3 linked regions of the Arabidopsis thaliana genome follow. The protein of the gene in region 1 interacts with the protein of each later gene in a biochemical or structural test. Each region holds a gene or a part of one and is shown in the gene's direction. Other genes may lie near its edges. The genes, in order: HAM1, WOX4 and WOX5.

Evidence for each region.
Region 2: the proteins of HAM1 (region 1) and WOX4 form a complex in vitro, tested with the Arabidopsis thaliana proteins (one study listed by BioGRID).
Region 3: the proteins of HAM1 (region 1) and WOX5 form a complex in vitro, tested with the Arabidopsis thaliana proteins (one study listed by BioGRID).

Annotation. Positions count from the first base shown.
Region 1 is NC_003071.7:18,617,314-18,622,457, reverse strand, and holds HAM1 (GRAS family transcription factor), read left to right. Parts: upstream 1-2,006; 5' UTR 2,007-2,425; coding exon 2,426-4,348; 3' UTR 4,349-4,596; downstream 4,597-5,144. UniProt on the Arabidopsis thaliana protein: Probable transcription factor involved in plant development.
Region 2 is NC_003070.9:17,235,978-17,239,854, reverse strand, and holds WOX4 (WUSCHEL related homeobox 4), read left to right. Parts: upstream 1-1,669; 5' UTR 1,670-1,901; coding exon 1,902-2,144; intron 2,145-2,363; coding exon 2,364-2,681; coding exon of another isoform or gene 2,682-2,693; exon of another isoform or gene 2,694-2,757; coding exon 2,758-2,952; 3' UTR 2,953-3,331; downstream 3,332-3,877. UniProt on the Arabidopsis thaliana protein: Promotes differentiation and/or maintenance of the vascular procambium, the initial cells of the developing vasculature.
Region 3 is NC_003074.8:3,525,524-3,529,083, forward strand, and holds WOX5 (WUSCHEL related homeobox 5), read left to right. Parts: upstream 1-1,756; 5' UTR 1,757-2,082; coding exon 2,083-2,386; intron 2,387-2,495; coding exon 2,496-2,740; 3' UTR 2,741-2,917; downstream 2,918-3,560. Other genes in the region: MEE34 (Mov34/MPN/PAD-1 family protein), read left to right, coding at 3,466-3,560. UniProt on the Arabidopsis thaliana protein: Transcription factor, which may be involved in the specification and maintenance of the stem cells (QC cells) in the root apical meristem (RAM).

The DNA of each region.
Region 1 (5,144 bases):
TTTAATGCGATACACATTTTGTTTTAGGACAGAGACACAATAGTGGTGGAAACTCACATGGAGGTTTGTGATTTGTCTTGGGAAATAAACCATGTCTCTCATAATGACAATGCTCAAATAATAATAATAATAATCTGTTTTTTTCTTTCTGGTTTAAGAACGTAAATATATGGTTAACTCAAGGCAATACTGATACATAATAATAACATAATAAGCATGTCTACTTTACATTCATACACAAGCAACCAAGAATTTCAATCTTGTCTTGGAAATCCAGCTGCCCATCTCCTTGTTTGATTTTCATTTACTCCACTTATTGTTGTTAAATACATACATAACCACTTGATTTATTGGTAATGCTATTATATTATTGTTGTGTGCTTGTTATGGTTGTAGATGTAGTAGTGAATTAGATATAGAATAAACAAATATGTTAGCGTGATCCATGTTATGTCATCGAGGTGTTTCATTACCACGAATTTTCTTAGAAATTGTGAACAACATATTGGGACCGTGCGATTAATTTGATTTGTGTTGACAAGGAAAAAATTGTTTTATAATTTTAACATAAGTTTGGTTTCCAACACCGGTGTTTAGTACTGTTTTAATATTGTATACCTAATGTAAGTAGTTTATTAAGAATGGACAAAATGTACATTAACTACTTAATATTTAAATGAACATTTGTTTTAAAACAAATAGCAGAGTGAAAAATTTGACATAGCAATGTCATTTTCATTGACCAAAATTAATATATCAAAGTGCGATTCAAATAATATAAACTTATAGTTTAGGTTTTTAACAAAATAGTGGAAATGTTTCGAGATGCTTTCACACAAAACAATACTAGTATTTTCTTCAAAAACTTTAATACATATATATATATATATATATATGAATATAATGTAGTTTTGAAAATAAATTCCATGAACAAAAAAAGGTCCTAATAATAAATTCGAATAAAATAGTGTTAGTTATTTAACTAACACATGTTATGATTAACAACTTTAAGTTCTTTGCAAAAAAGAGTTTAGTTTTTAAATCACGAGTTAAAGTAATCGACACCACCACCATCTTAGATTTTGTAGTTAAGACTAATTAAAGAAAAAGGAAGAATACTTCCAACATAATTTAGAGCCAATGGATTTGAAGTGAGACAAAGCATCTCAGCCGTTGAAAGATTTTGGTCTCGATGTTTTCAAAAAATCTTCAAAAAGCCACACCAGAGAGACACTCAAATAGAGCACCGGTCCGTCAGATTCAGTTTCGAAAACCAGGCCCAAAGCCACCTGCCAGACTTGTTTCCCCTCTAATTACTATATTGTCCTTCTCTCTTTTGCAGTGTCTTCCTCGAATCTTAAGGGTAAAATTGGGAATTAAAGTAAATATTAGTAATGAACCATCTGCGTCAGTTTCGTCTTTTTGCTCTGTTTCCTCGGCATATGTAAGATTTTTTTTTCTTTCAAAAAACACTGTTTCAGATCAGTGACCCTTTCTTTCATTATTTTGGAGAAAGTATTCGAAAATAAAGTACGTGAAAACGGGAAATTATTTAAACTGAGAGGTGAAATTCTTTTTTTTTATTTTCCCTTCCGTTATTGTATTATTTTCCAATGGTATGTTGGAAGAATTTGTTTTAGATTTTTCGAAGATAAAGAAAAATCAACCAATAAAAATAAAAATGGCAAAAACATGTTTTAGTTCCTTTTGAGGAAATGTTGTTATAGAGGGATTATCCAGTTATAGACATCATCGCAAGACCACTAAATTCGTTGTACACAAAAATGATAAGCAACTAGTAGTACTTTGTTGTTTCAAAATTTACAAGTAGATAGAATTAGCTCGTACACAAACCTCTATAATAGTACTATAGAAGAAGCAACTTACGGCCAAAATTGAAAGAGTAAGACAAATTAAGTTGTAGGGGGAGAGTAGAGTCACGCGCTGGATTTGCGAAGAGACTCGACAATGATGGCACAAGAACACGGTACATATGTAGATAAGTACATCTACAGACATAAGCCACACATAGAGGACGAGAAACCAGAAAGAAAAAAAAGAAATGAAAATTCCTTATTACAAAAACCAAAAGATTTAGAGAGAGAGAGAGAGATAGAGCATTGATGAAGACCACTTTTTATATATTGCACGCATCCATATAACAGCTACAGAGAAAGAAAAAAGAAAGAAAGTGATTTTAGAGAAAGAAGAAAAAATTAAAGAAAGTTGGGGCGCCAATTACAAGTTTTGAGCTTTGCATGTGTTTCTTTCTTCCGTACATTAACCACTCTGAGACATAACCTCTCTCTCTCTTCTTTTGTTGTCTTTCTGTTCTGTTCTTGAGATCTCTCTCTCTCTCTCTCTCTAGGGTTATTTTTTTCTGGGTTTTTTGTTTTTACAGTTACTCTGTGTTGTTGAGGAGGCGATGCCCTTATCCTTTGAAAGGTTTCAAGGGGAGGGGGTGTTTGGTTTATCTTCTTCTTCTTTCTATTCAGATTCTCAGAAAATCTGGTCCAATCAAGACAAAACCGAAGCAAAACAAGAAGATCTTGGTTATGTTGTCGGTGGTTTTTTACCGGAGCCGACGTCTGTTCTCGACGCTCTAAGAAGTCCTAGTCCTCTCGCTTCTTATTCTTCTACCACCACCACGCTGTCTTCCTCTCACGGCGGCGGTGGTACCACCGTCACCAACACCACCGTAACCGCCGGTGATGATAACAATAACAATAAATGTAGTCAGATGGGTTTGGATGATCTTGACGGTGTTCTCTCTGCTTCTTCTCCTGGTCAAGAGCAGAGTATCTTGAGACTTATCATGGACCCGGGTTCTGCCTTCGGTGTTTTCGACCCGGGTTTCGGATTCGGGTCTGGTTCCGGGCCTGTGTCTGCTCCGGTGAGTGATAATTCGAATCTTCTGTGTAACTTCCCGTTTCAAGAGATTACGAATCCAGCAGAAGCTTTGATCAATCCTTCAAATCATTGCCTGTTCTATAATCCTCCGTTATCTCCACCGGCTAAACGGTTTAATTCCGGATCTCTTCATCAACCCGTTTTCCCTTTATCGGATCCGGATCCGGGTCACGACCCGGTTCGTCGTCAACATCAGTTTCAGTTTCCGTTTTATCACAACAACCAGCAACAACAATTCCCGTCGTCTTCTTCTTCCACGGCGGTGGCTATGGTTCCGGTTCCGTCGCCGGGAATGGCCGGCGATGACCAGTCAGTCATCATCGAGCAGCTGTTCAACGCGGCGGAGCTAATCGGAACCACCGGAAACAACAACGGCGACCACACCGTTCTCGCGCAAGGGATATTGGCGCGGCTCAATCACCATCTCAACACTAGTAGTAACCACAAGTCTCCGTTTCAAAGAGCAGCTTCTCACATCGCTGAAGCTCTCCTCTCACTCATCCACAACGAATCATCACCACCGTTAATCACGCCGGAGAATCTGATTCTCCGAATCGCCGCTTACAGATCCTTCTCCGAAACCTCGCCGTTTCTCCAATTCGTTAACTTCACAGCGAATCAATCGATTCTTGAGTCCTGCAACGAATCAGGGTTTGATCGGATCCACATTATCGATTTCGACGTTGGATATGGAGGACAATGGTCGTCTCTAATGCAAGAACTCGCTTCCGGAGTTGGAGGAAGAAGAAGAAACAGAGCATCGTCTCTGAAATTAACAGTCTTTGCTCCTCCACCTTCTACAGTCTCCGACGAGTTCGAGCTTCGTTTCACAGAGGAAAATCTCAAAACATTCGCCGGAGAAGTCAAGATTCCTTTCGAAATCGAGTTACTAAGCGTAGAGCTTCTTCTAAACCCAGCTTATTGGCCACTCTCTCTACGTTCATCGGAAAAAGAAGCAATCGCAGTGAATCTTCCAGTAAACTCCGTCGCCTCCGGTTACCTTCCGTTAATCCTCCGATTCCTTAAACAACTATCACCAAACATCGTCGTTTGCTCAGACAGAGGATGTGACCGTAACGACGCGCCGTTTCCAAACGCAGTGATTCATTCGCTTCAATACCACACTTCTCTGCTTGAGTCTCTTGATGCTAATCAGAACCAGGACGATTCGAGTATCGAGAGGTTTTGGGTTCAACCATCGATAGAGAAGCTGTTGATGAAACGACACCGTTGGATTGAAAGATCTCCACCGTGGAGAATCTTGTTTACACAATGTGGGTTTTCTCCGGCGAGTTTGAGTCAGATGGCGGAAGCTCAGGCGGAGTGTTTGTTGCAGAGAAATCCGGTGAGAGGGTTTCACGTTGAGAAAAGGCAGTCTTCACTTGTCATGTGTTGGCAAAGGAAAGAACTTGTTACTGTCTCTGCTTGGAAATGTTAGACGAAGAAGAAACCACAAATCTCTCTCTCGCTTAGCTAATTTCTCTGTTTTTCTTTGTCAGATTTTAAAATGTTGTTATGTTGTTCAATGATGTTCTTAGTTTCGAGACTGTTGTGTTTTAACATTTTAAGGAAGTCAGAATATATAATCAAAATCTCCTTTTGTTAGATTTTATTTTGCTCTTTTTGAGTTTATGCATAAATCTCTTGTCCAAAAACAGAAATTGTTAAAGAGATATGTTTTTTAGGATCTTCAGAGTCTACTTAGGACTAAAATAGACTTGTGGAAAATTCTGGTAAAGATCCTGTTACATTGTTAGGGTTAACTGGTTAAGGTCATACATTATTACATATACATTGAGAAAGGTTAGTTTATCAATTTTGAAAGAAAAAAACAATTTTATCTAGTCATTAGAATGTAATTAGGAACTAGTGAATGAATAGTCACGGTACATGCAAAATAACACATTTCTATGAAATAGTTGTATATAGTATTAAAATTTACAACCAAAAAGTGAAAGCTAATTGAATTTATCATTAGGTTTTTGGAGCTTCCAAGGTTGAATGTTTGTTTAATCGTCTCGGGTCCCTAACGGATTTTTTGGCCATGAAAAAGTTTGTTTTTCCGTCATAAAAAAGGTTAGGACTTTAATTTCGTACAATGTTTATTTTAGATGTAGGGGTTAAATGTATTTCTAAGCTTTTAGCTTTAAATATACATATCCATTATTGTAATACGACTTTTGTTCGTGAAATCACATGCTCCTAAAGTCATTGGTGCATGATATTATAATCTT
Region 2 (3,877 bases), on another chromosome or scaffold:
CCACAAAGATACAAATTTTGTATTTTTAATATAAATTTTAAAATTGTTTACCTGTTTTATCCTAAGTAAATAAGTAGATAAATATTTTTTATTATTTTTAAAATATATTAAAAGGTTAAAATTGTCAGTATACATTATTTTTTAAAAATGTGAAATTTCTATAAAAAAATCCATCTTCATAGGATAAAGATGTTATTAATTTTAGCTATTAGTCATGATCAACCTACACTGGTACTTCTATATTTCCTCCATGATATCAATTTTTATGTTTTAACCAGTGATATGAACTGTGACTTTCCACCTTCATAACTTTGATATCCATATATATTAGTGTAAGTTTCGTACTGTACATATACTTGCATCATAACTGGATTAGCCGAGACTAAATAATTTTGACTATTCTTCACAGTTCATACTCAAGGTCTCTGTTCTTTGTAATTCTAGACTACATATCAAATAAAAAGATGATGATATATTAGTCAAAACTCAAAAGTAATTAGAAGAAAAAACTTTGTAATTCCGGAATATCATACGTTACTACTTTTCATTAGTAAAATACCCAAATTACTTGGGAAATTGAGGTTCTGCAGTTCCCGATGTACAAGAGAATAACAATACAATACACTGATCTAAAGTGAATGGGACGCTTGACATTGCCAAACCAAACCATGCTTTTGTATCAATATCTAATAAACATATAAGCTTAAATTTATAATGATGTATTATTATCAAAATAAACAATGATAATATAACATTAAGATATTTCTAGCCTTTTCTTTTCCGCATAAAAGTCTGTCCTGGCTCATTATAAACTACCACTAATTTAGGCAAAATCCGTATCTTAACAAAAGTAATAAAAGCAATTTCGAGTATTGGGATTGGAAGATACCTTTTCCCCTTATTCATTCTTCTTCTCATTCTTCTTTTCTCTAAATAAAGTAGTTGAGACTTGAGAGCCACCGAAAAGCATTCGACATCCTATCATTAAAGCTAACTTTTTTCAGTGTTTTATTTCTAAAATAATTTCTTAAAATAAAGAAAGGTGAGAGAGAAATTATGTCCCTATACAACTAGTAGAATGAAAGATTGTCAAGCTTTGGTTTGGGATTTTTCTAATAAATCACATGCATTTGTTAGAATTTGATCCCAAAAAAAAAAAATTCAAACCTTTTTCCTGTAAAAGCAAACCTATTGGCTCGTAGGTCAATGTCAATCTCAATGAATAGTAAAGTCTTTTGATATCACGTATCTATAACATATTATTTTTAGCGTGGTTCATGTCCCTCAACATTCTGCCTAAATTATAGGATCTCAAGACATAGTACTATAGACTACAACTACAAGTAGAGGAAAATTTTATAAGAGAGATAAATTATGCGGTATTCACGCATGACATGCGTAAGCATGAAACTAAAATTTGGTTGATACATTACTATGCCGAATTTAAAGTAGTGCTCCATGCAGACATGAACATATCAGATATCACACGTACGCATGTATTACGTGTATGTAGAGACACACGTACGCATATCTATATTCACACAATGAGATTTCACTTTCTCAAACAAAGATCACTGTCTTCAATTAGTTTCAAATTTGTTCTTTACCTATTGCTTTTACATTTCTGAGTGTATATATTTACAATAAGGACAAGGAGATTTTAAATGATAAAAGTCAACCATATCCCATCATTTGGTCTTTGGTTTCCCGACGTCCCACTTTTGTAAAAATCATCTGTTCATTTTCCATTCTTTTTCTTTTTCCTACCCAACTGGATATCACCAATGATATCATTATACACTAACACTATCATTTCACACTTATCTTCCTCTATATATACATAGCTTAAGTCTTGTAACGAGAAAGGCATGCATAGCATTTGCTAGTTTTAACATATAGCAATGAAGGTTCATGAGTTTTCGAATGGGTTTTCTTCATCGTGGGATCAACATGACTCGACATCATCCCTTAGCCTAAGCTGCAAACGCCTCCGTCCTCTCGCCCCTAAGCTCTCCGGCAGCCCTCCCTCCCCTCCTTCTTCTTCCTCCGGCGTCACTTCAGCCACTTTTGACCTTAAAAACTTCATTAGACCCGATCAAACCGGTCCGACAAAATTTGAACACAAACGAGACCCTCCTCATCAAGTCAGTTCCATTATTGTACTTCGTACATTTTACATCGTTTCTTTCGTTTGAAAAAAGAAGAAGAATTCACTCTAGAAGAATTTTGATAATTGCGGCATACCTAATACTTTGACATTTATAAATTATAACGACTGGAGTGGTTCCTTTTATTATTAATTTTATTTATTTATTTTAATGTATGATTCCTAACAAATGTAATGAAATAATGTGTGGGTTCAGTTGGAGACGCACCCGGGAGGGACAAGGTGGAACCCGACTCAAGAACAGATAGGGATACTTGAGATGTTGTACAAAGGTGGAATGCGTACTCCTAATGCTCAACAGATTGAGCATATCACATTGCAACTCGGTAAGTACGGGAAAATCGAAGGGAAAAATGTGTTCTATTGGTTCCAGAACCACAAAGCCCGCGAGAGACAGAAGCAGAAGAGGAACAACCTCATCAGCCTAAGTTGCCAAAGCAGCTTCACGACCACTGGTGTCTTTAATCCGAGTGTAACTATGAAGACAAGAACATCATCGTCACTAGACATTATGGTAGGAATTTAAGGATTTTGTATAGTTTTGTGGTTTTGATCAACTATATTTAAGGATAATTTTTATGATTGTGTAGAGAGAACCAATGGTGGAGAAGGAGGAGTTAGTGGAAGAGAATGAGTACAAGAGGACATGTAGGAGCTGGGGATTTGAGAACTTGGAGATAGAGAACAGGAGAAACAAAAATAGTAGTACTATGGCAACTACTTTTAATAAAATCATTGACAATGTAACCCTCGAGCTTTTTCCTCTCCATCCTGAAGGGAGATGAAGTCATGAAGGTGAGGCAGAAAATTGTGGAATTCTTATGTAGATCTGGTTTAGGTTCAGAGGAATCAATTGGTATCTAGAAATTCAAAATAAAAATAAAAATAGGAATAAGTCTCTAAAACTACAAAATCTACTTAAGAATTCCCTTATTAATCTGCGAGTTTGATGTATCCTATGTAGATTATTTTTGCGATGTAATCTTAATTATGAATGCTCAGTTTAGCTCATCTTTTTTTCGCGTTTATTCTTGACAAATTCACTAGTGATCAGTTGTACTCTCTTCTGATTTGGCCATCTAAGTATTTCTCTAGATCGTTGGTATGTAGGAATGTTTCATTTAGAGAAATTTCTGAATAAAGACACATTTGATGTTGTTAAAATAATATCTCTGTCTTAATTCCTACGTACGTACAAGAGCAAGAAGTTAAAAGGAAATAATAATAGCATTTCCCGTTGAAAAGGGGGTAGACCTAGTATATTTCTATATAAACAAACATTGAAATCTAAAACTTTTTGTACTGTTATATACTTATATTAAAACTCTTAGTAAAACAGGTGACTCAATAATATTTATATTAATTTTTTATTTTTGATAAATATATACTAAATAAGTTTATGAGATGATAACAAGAAGAATCTTTTCAAGAATTTGATATTTCCAATGGAATGTGTACAAAGACATCAATATATGTAAGCTGTGGTGTGTATGTGGTTAGTTGTTTGTCTGATGCTTTATTGACTCTCGCAAGTGGTTGTTTTGTATTTTGGTTGAAACAAAGAGAGAGTTTTGCTTTTTAGGTTAAAAGTTGAAATGGCATTATATGAGACACACTCACTGAAGTCCATGCACTCGCTTTCCCGCTACATTGCATGCTAGCTAGCTGTTTCTATACATACGCAGATATATGTAGCTCTTCTATATTTTC
Region 3 (3,560 bases), on another chromosome or scaffold:
AAAAAAACAAAGTATATGATATGTTTGGGGGCATCCAATACGAGAGTTTTGATATCTCAAATCCACGACATGCTATCTTTAACTTTTTAATGTACAACTCACAACTGTTTTATCATCCAGTACCAGTAATTGATGACTAATTGGGTGCTGGGTGCATGCCACTTTTTTCTATATATCTAACAAATCTAAGTCATAAAGTTTCTCTAAACCGAATTAAATCCAAAAATCTACTTATTTAGTTAGACTCGAGAGTAGGTAATGAGATATTCTGTAAGAAATTTGTAATTAAACAAAGATGTTATGTAAATTAACTGGGATGATTCCAAGTAACATAAGCCACGTGAACTTTGACTTTGACACCGAATTGATCAATTTTAAAAACAAGATGCAGTTTATATGCGAGAGAGACAAAGATATTTGTAAGTACTGTTATGTTGTCTAGTGAAGAGTACTTTGTTTATAAAAACAATGTTTGGTTTTATTCACATTGTCATTTTATTATTTGGACCATTTTCGTCTTGCTTAGCATCCCGTGCATGTCTCATCTAAATCCTCACTATTAAGACATTTTAACGCACACTACATGAATATTATAAGTTTTTCCTTTCTATTTCTGCTGGTGTCATACGTACTGTTCATATAGACATCAATAAGTTTCTTGTACAAACAACTAGACTATGCAAAATTATAAGAGCTGGATTGTATATTGTTAAAACTGAGGCATGTATGAGTTGTACGCTTAAAAGTGAAATATTTTTTCGGTCGCAGGTTATATACTAGAATGCAGTTAGATTTTAACTAAGAAATAAATTTTTGACCAAAGCATTTACAGTATAATGCATGATTTATGTTACTATTGCTGCTGTCTCATTTTCAGATTTCAAAAATCAGATCTAATTGACGTGATAGCATATAGAGGCTAGTAAAACACTATGAGTTTATACTTTTATTGATGGTTAAAATTATTTTTACATCTTGCAGTCATCTTTCAACCATTCTTCATTCTAGAAGGAGTTCTTGGTGACTTAATAAATGGCTTTTTACAAATATTTTGGTGTAGGACTTATATTATACATGTGTGTGGCGAACCTTCTGGTTCTATCTATTAAATGCCTTTTCTTTTTGTAGTTTTTTATGATTCAGAATTCAGATATTTGATTTTGTAATATTATATTTTCTTATAAAAGAGAATAAAATTTCAAATTTCCTGTCTACACTTGCCGACCAACGTTCCTCAAGTGTCACATCTTCTGTGCAAGAGAGACAAAACTACAATCTGTTCACACAATGTCATGATGTTTATAATTAATCTTATCATCTTCATTCATATCAAACTAATATCGGCCATCCATCCGTCTCAATAATGTAATTGCATACAATCTTTGTTTAGGACTTGCTAGCTATTTCAACTTATTATTGATTACAGATTAGATCTACAATTTGTAAAGAACTTCTAACTTCAAAACAAATACAAAAAAAAGAAAGTGAATGTAAAATTTCTAGTGTCATAATTTGGAATAGTTGAAGCATTGAAGTTACAATATCGAACGTTAAAATATTGACACTAGATAGTACATTACCACCAAGGCTTTCTGATTATTCTTATCATGTTATATGAATAGTAAGAAATTACGTAGAACGCAATTTAAGTGTGTGCGAGTCACCACAAATTAAAGGAGAACAAATTCAATGTTTCAATCGCTGGTTCCGATATACAACTTATGCATGCCATGGCATGAATGCGAGATCCAATTATATACTAATATATACACACAAAAACATATGTAAATATAGATGGAACAGAAGCCTAGATAGGTTAGGATAAAGAAAACGATCAAATCTGCAAAGATCAGTCTCTCCCAAATCCCCAAAAAAAACAAAGCATGCATTTCGTAATAAACAACTCATCATAAAACGACACATAACTCGAAAACCTCTCCTCCCGACATTTCATCAATTCATTTCTCTTTTTATTTTCGAAAAGATGAAAACTTAATAAATTATTATGAACAATCTTACTATATATATGGATATATACACAGGCCCTAAAACGTAAAACAGTTGAGGACTTTACATCTGAACATGTCTTTCTCCGTGAAAGGTCGAAGCTTACGTGGCAACAATAACGGAGGAACGGGGACGAAGTGCGGGAGATGGAATCCAACGGTGGAGCAGTTGAAGATATTGACTGATCTGTTTCGAGCCGGTCTTAGAACTCCAACAACTGATCAGATTCAGAAGATCTCTACGGAGCTCAGTTTCTACGGCAAGATAGAGAGCAAGAATGTTTTCTATTGGTTTCAGAATCATAAGGCTAGGGAGAGGCAGAAACGTCGTAAAATCTCCATTGATTTTGATCATCATCATCATCAACCATCAACTAGAGGTAGTCTCTTTATATATATATATATATATATATATATATATAATTATATATCATTATTGTTTTATATGATATTTCTATATATTTAATGGATAATAGTGTGTTATTATAGATGTTTTTGAAATAAGCGAAGAAGATTGTCAAGAGGAAGAGAAGGTGATAGAGACATTACAACTCTTTCCGGTGAATTCATTTGAAGACTCCAACTCCAAGGTGGACAAAATGAGAGCTAGAGGCAATAACCAGTACCGTGAATATATTCGAGAGACCACCACGACGTCGTTTTCTCCATACTCATCATGTGGAGCTGAAATGGAACATCCACCGCCATTAGATCTTCGATTAAGCTTTCTTTAAGTCATTGACCACAATAACAAAAGAAAAAAAACAGATGCTTTAGCCTTTAAAATGTTGTTGTATTTTGAATTATGACATATTATCCGATGCATGGTTTATGAGATATTTTCCAATGCATGGTTTATCAAAAAGTTGTCTCATTTTGTTTGATATAAGAATCTATGTTATGGAATGCGTATATGTATATCATCATATAACTAAGGTTGTGATTTGTTAATGTATTTTTCTATATTTTTTAAAAATAATTTAAGAAAGACATCATTAACGAATAGTTCTATTTGCATCACAGAAATACTAGAAATATCAGATAAACTTAAAACTTAAAAGATGTTAAAAAAACAAACTTAAAACTTATCTCTATCAATTTACAAAATTTACATCATCTCGAAATACTTAAGTCTTGATCAACAACCATTAGACCAAAAAACTTGCACAATCTTATCAGAATAAAACCAACTCTTTTAAACGAACAGATTAATATCCTTAATATTATTTTACCCAGACCCATTGTCTTTTAGGCCCATATAATTGGGCTTTATAATACAGAGAAGGCCCAAACTTTGGTTAAACCCATAGTGCCTAGAGAAGATTAATTAAAGGGGTTTTCCTGGAGAAGAAGCAAACTCAAGTTCCGTCGGAGATAAAACGGAATCAAAAGTTGAGGTTTTGATCATTCCCGGAGAAAGAAATTTAGAATTACTCAAGCGAATTTGATTAACCCAACAATGGATGTTATAAAGACGCAACAAATATCGGCAAGGACAATCGAGAAAGTGATCGTTCACCCACTTGTCTTGCTTAGTATCGTCGACCATTACAA